3 linked regions of the Lepisosteus oculatus genome follow. The protein of the gene in region 1 interacts with the protein of each later gene in a pairwise test. Links are inferred from orthologs where the notes say so. Each region holds a gene or a part of one and is shown on either strand. Other genes may lie near its edges.

Evidence for each region.
Region 2: the proteins of tnika (region 1) and hars interact in a two-hybrid assay, tested with the Homo sapiens proteins (2 studies listed by BioGRID and IntAct). The link is inferred for Lepisosteus oculatus from reciprocal best matches to the Homo sapiens genes TNIK and HARS1.
Region 3: the proteins of tnika (region 1) and pafah1b1a interact in a two-hybrid assay, tested with the Homo sapiens proteins (2 studies listed by BioGRID and IntAct). The link is inferred for Lepisosteus oculatus from reciprocal best matches to the Homo sapiens genes TNIK and PAFAH1B1.

Annotation. Positions count from the first base shown.
Region 1 is NC_090708.1:14,164,940-14,168,692, forward strand, and holds the start of tnika (TRAF2 and NCK-interacting protein kinase), read right to left. Parts: upstream 2,511-3,753; 5' UTR 2,451-2,510; coding exon 2,428-2,450; intron 2,236-2,427; coding exon 2,169-2,235; intron 1-2,168. UniProt on the Homo sapiens protein: Serine/threonine kinase that acts as an essential activator of the Wnt signaling pathway. Recruited to promoters of Wnt target genes and required to activate their expression. May act by phosphorylating TCF4/TCF7L2.
Region 2 is NC_090706.1:32,650,246-32,653,998, forward strand, and holds the start of hars (histidine--tRNA ligase), read left to right. Parts: upstream 1-1,495; intron 1,496-2,419; 5' UTR 2,420-2,639; coding exon 2,640-2,750; intron 2,751-3,642; coding exon 3,643-3,732; intron 3,733-3,753. UniProt on the Homo sapiens protein: Catalyzes the ATP-dependent ligation of histidine to the 3'-end of its cognate tRNA, via the formation of an aminoacyl-adenylate intermediate (His-AMP). Plays a role in axon guidance.
Region 3 is NC_090721.1:6,261,583-6,265,335, reverse strand, and holds the start of pafah1b1a (lissencephaly-1 homolog A), read left to right. Parts: upstream 1-1,194; 5' UTR 1,195-1,533; intron 1,534-2,849; exon of another isoform or gene 2,850-2,938; intron 2,939-3,753. UniProt on the Homo sapiens protein: Regulatory subunit (beta subunit) of the cytosolic type I platelet-activating factor (PAF) acetylhydrolase (PAF-AH (I)), an enzyme that catalyzes the hydrolyze of the acetyl group at the sn-2 position of PAF and its analogs and participates in PAF inactivation.

The sequences.
Region 1 (3,753 bases):
ACCCTACCAGTTACACCTCCCTATTGCTGTGGGAATATAAAACATATACTGTTCATGGTATAGGTGCAGTGCCAATAGACAATAACTGAGTGCCATTTGCAGTGAAGCTATAACAGATAAGAAGCAAAAAAATCTACAACATTTGTACAAGTGCACACAGGCAGCTATTGCATCCAGCCATTATCTCCTGTAGAGCATCTTAATTATCCTAAACAACTCAACACACATCACTGGTCCTGTTTTTTGTTTTTATTTTAAAAAAGGTTTCCTACATTTCCCATACCAAAGTGAGTTCAGACCTGTAGCACTATTACAAATGAAGACTTTGTGAAACAAATATTCTGCAGCAATCAAAAGTGAATTTTTTGCTTGTGCAGAGGTATCACATATGTACAGTAGCTCACATGGTGTAGAAATACATTGTTACATACAGTACTACACACAGGAGGACTGCCTTCTTGAATAACAGAAAACACACTTATGCAAGTTACAGTCAATTACATCTTCATTCGTGTATATGTAGGACACGTGACTGCTAAATGATTTGCCTATTATAAATAACTATTCTGTTGCCTGGATTTTAGGCTGTATGGTTCAAGTAGAACTCAACATTCAAAATGTAGTCCATCTCTGCAAAGCTGCTAATAGACATTCCAATACCAAAATACATAACATTGTTGAAACTCTACATTCCGGGTAATCTTAAATATATGTATTTGATTATGAACCATGAAATTAAGGGAAACGTCTAAATCATAAATGGAAAAAATATGTTTTCAGTGAGTAAGCATTGTAGGTAATACGGATGAATCTATCAGCATTTTACAGAGAATTAAAAAACTCGTAAAAATTAAAATGGGAGGCAATATCCCACAATATGTTATATATCTCAAAGATATGTCCCATGTCTTTATGTGCCCTTAAATTAAATTAACAGAAATGCTGCAGGATTAACATTGTTAAGATGATCTGTTTTAGCACTGCTTATAATGATGATATTATGCATAAATTAACTTAAGGCACTAACGAATCAAAACCACATTAAAGCAGGTAAGGTTACATCGCATAATAACTCATTTTGAAAATGAGCACTCCACAGGATTTAGTTGGACACGTTCAACTTGACACAAATGGTGACAATAAGGTAACAAATACACCTTGCGATAGGCAAAAACAGAAGCTAGCAGCAAAGCCCACAGCGTTACCATACAGTATATTAATAGAAAAATTGAGACAAAAGAATCGCCACCAAACATCTAGCATTGTGCACAAACCGAGCCATATTCAGTTATCATTTTCGCTCTAATGCTGGCAGCATGAAGCTGGGTATTAAACTGAAAAACGCTCCATACCGTGAAATGCTAAAAACATCGTACAGTACATGAAGATATACTGTATATGTTTGCTTGGCAAACAAATATGGTATATTAGGTGATCCGCTGTAAAACTGAGAGGCTCTAAACTACATCTCATGCCGCGATTATTGGGTGGTAAACATTTTATATTTTCCCTTCGTAAAGGCATTATAATTTGACATCACCACAAATCACAATTGTGACATTATAAAAAAAGGTGGGATTTTCTTGTCTTTTATTAGCCGTGGTTTTCTGTTAAATGTTCTGCAGTGTTACAGCAAATAAAAACCCCGGATTACATAAGAATTTTGGATTTTTAGTCTATGTCCACTCTGTCTAGAATTCAGAAAATTGTTTTAAAAAGGATTTTCACAACTCTCCGTGATCCGCTTGAATGTACTGCACTTGACTGATTTTTTTTTGTAATGTCTGTCAAATAGGGCTATATAGGGAGAAAACACAAGCACAGCATTTCTGGGGTGTGTGTTTCTTTATGTGGACGAGTACAATCCAGCAGCCTGAAAACCCTATTGTATAAAAGGTACTCAGCAGCATTTAAATATTAATTCAGCGAGAAATATGTTTCATTTTACTCCAAGCTCGTACTACATTAAAAGCAAAGGTGCAATTGTGATAAATTGTGAGGACATCGTCGCCCGTTACATCAGTTCAAGTTGGTGTCATCTCTGGCTGTGCGTATTATTCACAAGAGCTTGATCAGGTGCAAAGCGTTCTCATCAGCCCCATTTTCTTCGCCGTCTCGATAGCAAAAAATTCACTGACAATTAACATCCAATACTTATACAAACTTACCCTCAAAGCTGAAAGGTCTATTTCATCCAAGCTTCTGGCTGGAGAATCGCTCGCCATGTTTATTTCACTAATGAAATTAAACAAGAAAGATAAATGAAAGGAGACAAAATCCTTTCTGTGCGGTGTCCTGCTAAGTTTGTGGCAAACGCAAGGTCCCGACCGTTTTCCTTAAAAAAATAAAAAATGTAAAATAAAAATCCCTGCTGATATCAGGAAATACGGATAATATGTACAAGCAGCACAGTGCTAGAGGTGATACCTTGATGTATGTAATGAGGACATGCTTAGCACCGTATACACGGCGTCCACACGAACCGTAAGCTACAACAAAACAGAGCGAACGCACAGATAGCAGATCTGCAAAATACTGTCAATCAGAGGCTTCCCGGGAGTGGTCAGAGAGAAGGGGCGGTCGGATTGTTTCCAGCCGCCCATTCTTTCCTTCTGAGCGAGTATTTTCAAAGCAGGGCACTGTTTTAACAAGCAAGATTTTCTGATAACAGGTAACTGCAGAGCTGCAAGCATACAATAACGATACAGTCCGGGATGCTTTTAAATATCATTAACTGATCCGTCAGGGTCTAACTCCTTTCTATATGCCGCTGATGTGCTAACTAAAAGACTGAATTGAGCGCTAAAATATTTCAGTTGGACTGTAAACCGCACCGCCTTAATGAAACGGTTCTTGCATTCAAACATAGTCTTAAATTGAAAGCAAAAACTCCACTTACCTTACCTGTCTTATTTAAGCAATTAGGTATCAACTGTGCCATTCATTTCCAATCCTAATACAATAAATTGTATATGGCCAATAAAGTGATCTTACATACGACCTGACGCATATACTTTTCACCACGAGCTCATTGGAGCCACACTTAAAGCACTTTTCATTGAAACGTTGAGTAGATAGGCTTGTTGATTGTTTGAGAAATGTTGCTCCTTGGGATACGAAAATACTGACCACAAGTCATTTGATTTAATTAAAACACTGGATCCTCAGTGGTTCGTGTGACTTTACTATGCATTTGTATAATTAGGCATTCAAAAAAGCAACAGTTTATGCAGTGTAAAAACCATGAAAGATGTGATCAGAACCCTCTTGGAAGTTATGAAGTTGTCCTGGTTGCTACAGTATGTACATGATTGAAAGCCACCAATCTGTGAGAGACGTTGCCTGGAGAATGAGATATATCAGCATATTAGTCCAGACAAATCAGGAAACTGGCTGTGTGAGGGACAGACCACATCATGGAAAGCAGAGGGTGATTGCTCTGTGCAATACGTTTCAGACTGCACTGAATACACTTTTAGAAATTCTAGGAATAAATAACCCGAGCATCAGCAGCATGACTCTTATTGTCTGTCTTACAGTAGCATGTTAATGGTAATAGCCAAGTCCTGTGGTTCTTAAAACATCTGGGGTGGAAGAGATGGAGTGCTGGAATGTTTTATTAACTAAGGAAAGCCATTTTCATATCCTTGACAGACCTGATGGAAGGACTTGAGAATTACACAGACTGTTGGTCTTTTCAATACTTATAATACTGAATAATTCTTTACCTTTATATAGCACATTTCTGGATAC
Region 2 (3,753 bases), on another chromosome or scaffold:
ACCTTTTTCTTCAGCACTGCCCTGTTTTCTGCTGTGTCTACATTGTCTGTGCACATCTTATCTGGGACACTAGCATGTGCCCTGTGAGAAGACAAATCACCAACTGTAATTTTTTTACGTTCTATATTAATATATCAATGTATCTGTTTCTCAGTAAGACTTCGAAGTCTTGCACATGTTGAAATCCTTAAAATTTATACATCATGTATTGGTATAGGAAAGACAAATCATGATTAATCCATGCAATCATATGAAGCAGGATTGTATCTTGAGTGGAATGCCTTTCTGTCACATGGAAACACATGAACACAAACAATTTACAGATTCCAATTATCCAGTATGACTCTGGAAGATGAGATAAAATGAGCACTTCGACAATCTGTCATATATACTGGGAGTAGGGGGCAGATGTACACACTTCACACAGAAAACCTAAATTAAGAAGTGAAAGGGGTCAGCATTAACCTCTGTCACTGTGCTGCTCTCAATTGTGTTTTAGTAATCCTGAATAAAAATACCATTAAAGAATGTAAGAATGTGCCATTTTGCCCACATAGCACAATATATTGCCATCTGCTGTTCAGAGTAAATAAAAGCAAGCCATTACTAGCAGACTCAATCCCATCTTTTTGCTTCACAGCCAACTAGTTTTAAAGTTTTAATAACTTACTTGAGATATAAAGAGTTCACAGGGCCTATTTTCATATACTAATCTGTAATACCTGACAGTTCGCGAATACTCTCAGATGAGTCTTACCACAGAAAATGAACAAAAACCGAACCTGATATACTGTTTTCACATTAGCATATAAATAAAATGTAATTCCTAACAAGATAAAAAATACATTGAAATCTTAGAAAACAAATCTTAAAATAAAAAGGCTACATATATTGCTTTACAGTTGTGAATACAAACAACCCAATATATCTACAGCAGAAACATCTGTTAAGTTCGAAAATCACTTGGCTCTGACGATGTCAGTTTAAACCTCAGAACCTTATCTATTACATCTTAAGTTCTGAGTAATGATAATGTATAATTTCTCACATGCGTTTCCATGACAACACATATTCATCGCTGTTAAAATCAGATTTTACTTGTTATATACCCTTCAGGCAGACGGAAAAACAAGTTTTTCTCCGTTAAACAGCCTGTATTATTACTCATAGAGGAAGGTGACACGATAAATGCGTTGCAGTATCTTTCTCAACGCAAAGTGCAAATGCACCAAAACACGTGAAAAGAAATTCGCCGTGGTTGTTGCTAGCGTCAAATTTTAAACTATGCAGGAGCCGGGCCGGCGGAAACGCAAAGAGCGCTCTGTCAATGCGGACGTGCTCCCTGCGCGTTTGCGTCAGTGCGCGGACTGCAATACAGTACACGGCACCGGCTTAGGAAGGCACCATGGCGGACAAGGCACAGACACAAGAGGCTATTAAAAAGCAAGGAGAGGTTGTCAGGAAATTAAAAGAGCAAAAAGCTAGCAAGGACCAGGTCAGTATGGGCTCTTCAGACCTATTATTTTATTATAGAAACCACATTTCGTAACATTAATTTTGATTAAGCTTAGTGAAGCCAGCAAAGGAAGGGGTGGGTTCAACGCTGTCATAGAATAGAGAGAAAAATGAAAGGCCTGGGTACTTGAACCACACGGTAGGACCGTAAAAGTCTAATTAAACACAATTAACGGTGCAGCGTGCACATAGCTAATTGTGCTCTAATACGCGTCATTGCAATCTCCGTAAATAAGGCGCTCACGGTGTTTTTAGAAACAATGTTCATGCCTGGTTTGAGAAGAATTGCCGCAAAGTCCTTCTCACATAGAACTGCTCTGCGTCCATTATAAAGAGACATGTATTCATATTTGTCGCTGAATTGAAACCTTTCGAGGCTTGTGCGGGGTAGTTCCTTGCGGTACAGTAGTGCATCCCTTTTTGCCCGGCTGATGCAATCAGCTTGTAAGGTCCGTGGCTGCTTTGTCCTACATAGAAACTGAAAGTTAACATTGCATATAAATAAATTAAAAAACGAGTTCCTTATGCTTCAAAGCACGGGTATACAGGCTATACATTTTATTTTTTTTGTCGGGTGGGATCCGGTGAGGGAGTTCATTTTACCTTTATTTTGGCAGAGCCTGACAATATTACGTATGTGCAGTAACTGCTGGGGTGCCTATGGGCTGAACTGTCGTAGCCCGTTAGTATTGTAAGAAACTTTGGCGGTCTGCTCGTTTTACATAGAAGGCTTCTGCCCTGGGTCTGGTGTTTGGGTGCATATTGCAGTGTTATCCGAGTGACCCCTCATTAAGCACACCGTTCTGTTGAAGTGTTCCACTGTCCTGTGCGAGTCGGTTGATTTTGACTGTTGCTCCCCCTCCATGTTTTGCCTCCACGGTGATTCTGCGGACTCGCGTGCTAGGGTTGCTGACCAGTTTTCTCCTGTTCTCCCTGCACGTGCCACCCGGGCCTCCGCACCGACTGCCCTCTGCGCCCGGCCGTCGCCCTCGCATAAACCGTATTCCGGACCTCTTTTTGTTTTTCCTGGACGACACTTTCACTTTCCTGGGGGAAACGCCTGGGATGAATTAACGCGGGGGATTATTTTTTTTTTCTGGCCCTCAACTCATTTCCGGACGACCATGAACAAATTGGGGGCGTTTTCTGTTCGACTCTGGTCGGGACCTCTTGTTCACCGGTGTGGTCCGTTCCCTCGTGTTCTGCGTGCGGTGTCCTGCAACCCTAACACACAGGTATGCTGATGGGGGGGGAGGGGATACACATTATAGAAACAGCACTCCACGGTGGCACAGTGGTAAGCTTTGCTGCCCCACAGCCCTGGGGCCCTGGTTTCAGTTCCAGACCCAAGGTGCTGTCTGTGTGGAGTTTGCATGTTCTCCCTGTGTTTGTGTGGTTTACCCCTAGGTCGAATGGCTTCCTCCCATAGTCCAAAAACATATTGGTAATTAATTGGCTTATGGGAGTACTGGCCCTAGGTGTGCATGTCTTTGTGTCCTGTCCAGGGTATATTCTGGCTTGTCCCTTTTACCTGCTGAGATAGGCTTTCTCTTCCCTGCTACCCCGAATTGGAAGCAATGGTTAAAAACTGTCTGGAGAGATGACCTCATGACACCCTTTTTACTCTTTTGCAATGCCCTGTACATATTGTAGGACCATTTCATCCAGTATATGATTTTGATAGTAAACATTCAAATGAATTAGAATCAGATTAATAAGTTGCATTGTTCAGTGTCAACTTAGCGTTTGAGCTATCAGGCAGAAACATTCAGTAGCAGTTAAGGTTCTGGACTCTGGACCGGAGAGCTGAGATCCCAGCTGGGACAGTGCTGGTACTCTTGATCAGGGTCCTCTGATCGCTCCTGTAAGTGCCCTGCTGTATAAATGTGTCTCCAGCCTGTCACCTGGCAGAACAGATAACATTATCTTGGTGCTTTTTTCTTGTTTTCTCTATCTGTCTGGTTGTATACTGGAGCCCAAGAAGACTCTGGTAGAATCACAAGTCTTGCCACATGTCATACCCAGTGTTTTGTATCATTGTGTAGTGTATGAGTGTCGTTAGGTCTTGTCTATACTATATTATAAAGATTAGTCTTTTCATTTTAAAACCATTGATGTCTTATGCAGATTGATGAAGAAGTTGCTAAGCTTTTGCAGCTGAAAGCACAGCTGGGGACAGATGATGGCAAGCACACCTTTGTTCTCAAAACCCCTAAGGTATGTGCCGACAGAAACATC
Region 3 (3,753 bases), on another chromosome or scaffold:
TGCTTTGACTTCTCGGGCCAAGGGGTCACCGTGTCCCTCTTCTCTGCGGCTAGCTGGATCTCATTTGTTTTCTTTGTCCATGTATGCTTTTGTATTCAAATGAGCAAATTAAAAAAAGACTATTAAAGAGGAATAGAGTTGTGATTTTTTTTTTTTACTGAAGACTTGGGATTGTCTTTATACCTGTGGATGATATGCTAGTTGTGGCACATGGTATCACTGATGGATCCGTGTGTGATTACCTGTGTGTAGCACAGTATAGTGCTTACCTGAATAGCACCTGTGCCACAGCTTTGTGCTGCTGGGAGCTTGCCCTGTACAAACCTCATTGAATAGGTCTTCAGCACCTAACCCCATCCTTCCTATATCCTACAGACAACAGGATAGTAGACAAGACGTTAATCTGTGTATTGCAGGTTCAGCCTGTTTTGGGGTTGGTCTTTTTACACAAATCCTTCTGTTCCCGCCATTAAGCGATGACCAATGGCATTCCTTATTAAAGCCACTTCCAAATAACAAAGATGGCTTTGCATTATCGCCGCTGGAAGTAATATTCTCTGTCTAGCCCGGGTACAGGTGTGCCTTTGTATAGCAGCCCTGGGATGCAAACTTTGCTTCATGTGTGGGGCTTTGCTGTGGAAGAAAGCAGAAGGAAGGTGCATTTCTGCAAGTGGAAGAACACAAGATTAGACATTAATTTGATAGGTTCTCTTTACAATAACAGTTGCTAAAATGTGACTGATTCATCTTCATAAGCTAAACCAGCAACTTAATTTTTCTGGAAGGAAGGTACTTGCTTTAAAGACCCAGAAGGGAAATTTACTTTCCAAGGCAGTTAAAAGACATAACACGATACATTTAACACGACATGAACCCATTAAGAAATAAGAAACAGACATGTATGATGGAAGAAATAAAATACATAAAGTATAAATAACTGCGACCCTTGCTGAGGTTCCCTCCGGCTGCTGAAGATGCATTTCTCTGCTGCAGCAGTGAAAGTATATCGAAGTTACTTGTCAGTGATAAAGTGATCTGAACGGGTCATGCGTACATAGGTAATAGAGATATATTCATTGATGACAATTAGCGCTGTCAGACCTGACGTCTTCAAACCCCCCCTTTCCCCCCCTACAGCCGGAAAGTCATGCGCACAATATCCTACACCCTACGGTCCCACAGCACAGCAGTTTGATGACGTAAGGGACGTCGGGGCGCGCTCGGGCGTGAACAAGGAAGAGGACGTTCGATGCGCGTGCCCGCGAAAAACGAACGACGCTGCTGAAGTGCGGGGGAGGAGGTGGAGGGGGGGGGGCGTGCGCGCCTCCGTCAAACAGACTGCGAACGCGAGTCCGTGCGCGTGCCCTGCGTCCGAAGGCGAATGCGGTACAGAAAACAAGGATCGGAGGAGAGACAAGGAGATAGACATAGCCAGTGAAATCCGAAGTCCCTCGCTTTGTACCGAAAAATACTCCCCATCTTGTGCTTTATGAGTACCTGACCCGGCGAAGGAGAAGGAGGAAAGACAATACGGTAAGATTTGTGCGGTTTAACTTCCGGTGTTGATTTTGTGTTTAAGAAAACAAGGTGGTAAAAATGACGATGTGGCTGCAATTTTTTTGCGCCTCCTTTCTGTGTCTCAAAATGGCGGCCAGGCCGTTAGAGCAACAGCAAAGGCAGAAAAATGAAAAAAAAAAATAACAGTCATTAAAACAGTCATTTTTACAAGTTGTCCTTCCACTGACTTGCGTTTTTTTTCAGCTCGACTGGTATTTTACGGAGTCTTTTAACCAAAGACGTGAGTTTGTGCCTCCTGTTTATGGTTTTCTATGCTTTTTTAAAAAAAATATTCTGTGACAGCAGAAAGTATATTCGAATTTGAGGGCTTCGGTAAGAGGGGTGGGAACTTGCAATCGATGAGGACACATATTTAGAAGTTTGTGGTTGGTCTTTTTTAAAATGTAGGTCATTTTCTGGTGGCTTTCGTGAGGATGCATTCTTAATTGATTTGCGAATTAGCCCAACTTCATCAGCAGGGCTGAAGGGAGGCGTTTAAATATCTTCTGATTTGGTGTAACCTTGCAGATGGCTCAGATGGGAAGGTGATTTGATGTTGTCATTTTGCTTCTGGTTGAAGGAATGCAGCGTTTTCAAAGACCTTCAAACGCTGTTAACAAATTCACGTAGTGTTCAGAGTTTGGTTAGTAAAAAAAAAAAGAGAACGAAGGGCTTATTTTTGATCGAAATGATAGGTCTGTTAGAAAGTGTTTTGAATACCGGCGTGGCATGTGTACAGTCCAGCGAAAATCGCCATCCTGTCTGCTTTTACACCTCTCCCAGACCAACCAGTACAAGCGATGGGTTTCTCACAAAATAGGCTTAATTGTTTTGCCCATTTGTAATGATAGAAACCTGTTACGTTGTCCCGGGTAACCTCCTAGCTAAAAGATCTGCCCTGCGTTCGCCCGGCTTTAAAAACAGGTTACATTTTTCCGACCTTGAAATGATCTTTTTGCCCATGTTGCTCGGTCCTTTAATCGTAACTTTTCATTTCCATCTGCTGCGCGGAGAATTTTGTATTCTTTCGAATTATTTTGGGGGTGCTGCTTGAAGGATTTGTGTGCGGAAGGGTGCGTTTTTTTCCCTAATATTCATCTGAATTCGGGCTGCCTGAATGCCTGTATTGTTTTGGCTGGTGGCTTCTATCGACGCACACTTTTATTTTAACTGCAACCCAACGCCGGACCAACCCAACGGGCATCTTCAATTATGTGCTGCTGCATTTTGCAATGACACTTGTGACGTTAACAGTTCAGTTTTGGACGCGTAATATGACTTCAGTTGAAGATGAGGGTGGAAAAAAAGCCTTGGGTTTGGCAGGGATTCACAAGTGGTTTGGAGGAAAGGAGCCGGGACAAGCCGGTCTGTTAAGACACCGGTATGGAGCTAAAACGTGATTTCTGTCTGTCGGTCTGGGGAGGGATACAATCGCTTCTTTTTCACTGTTGGGGGAGGGGATAGATTGTTGTTTTTTTTTGGTGGAGATACCTTTGACGATCCTTTTTTCTCTCCCGGTCTGCCATGATCAACACGCTCAACACCGGCATCGGGGGGCAGGGTGGAGCAAGAGACGAGAGCGATCGCCGGAAAAAAAAAAATCAAAAGCTGAATGAGTAAGAAGAAGATGGGGGTGGGGGGGAGTTGCCGGTTGGTTCGGTCAGTCCGATTTTTTTTTTTGGGGGGGGGGGGCTGCTTTCTTTCCGTTGTGTTATTTGCTGGTTCGCAATCGGCGTGATCCGGCTGTGCGCGGCCCTCATGATGTCTGCCCCTTGTCAGCTCTGGGTGGAGTAAGGAGGCGGCAGTTCCAGCGAGAGGGAAAGCAGAAAAACAGGGCTTGGATTTTTTTTTCCCTTCCTTCCCTCCCTCCCTGCCTGCCTGCCTGCCTGCCTTGCTTTTACCGCAGGGTGGATCTCCCAACTTGCGACGCCTTGCCCTGAAAGTGACAAGTCACCGCTCCTTAAGATTTTATTTGATTTTTTTTTAGGGGGGGGGGAGGGATTTTGGCGTTTGGGGCGCCGGTTTCGCCGTGTCCTTGCTGTAAACCGCGAACCCGTTGCTATGCGCTTCCCAGTTCAGTCCCTTTATTTCTCCGTGACGACGCCAGCGCTCCGCTATCCTTGGGAGTTGTTCGGCAGCTGATGCAACCCCAACAGGCAGGAGGTGGCTCATGGCGAATTGATGTTATAAGACTTG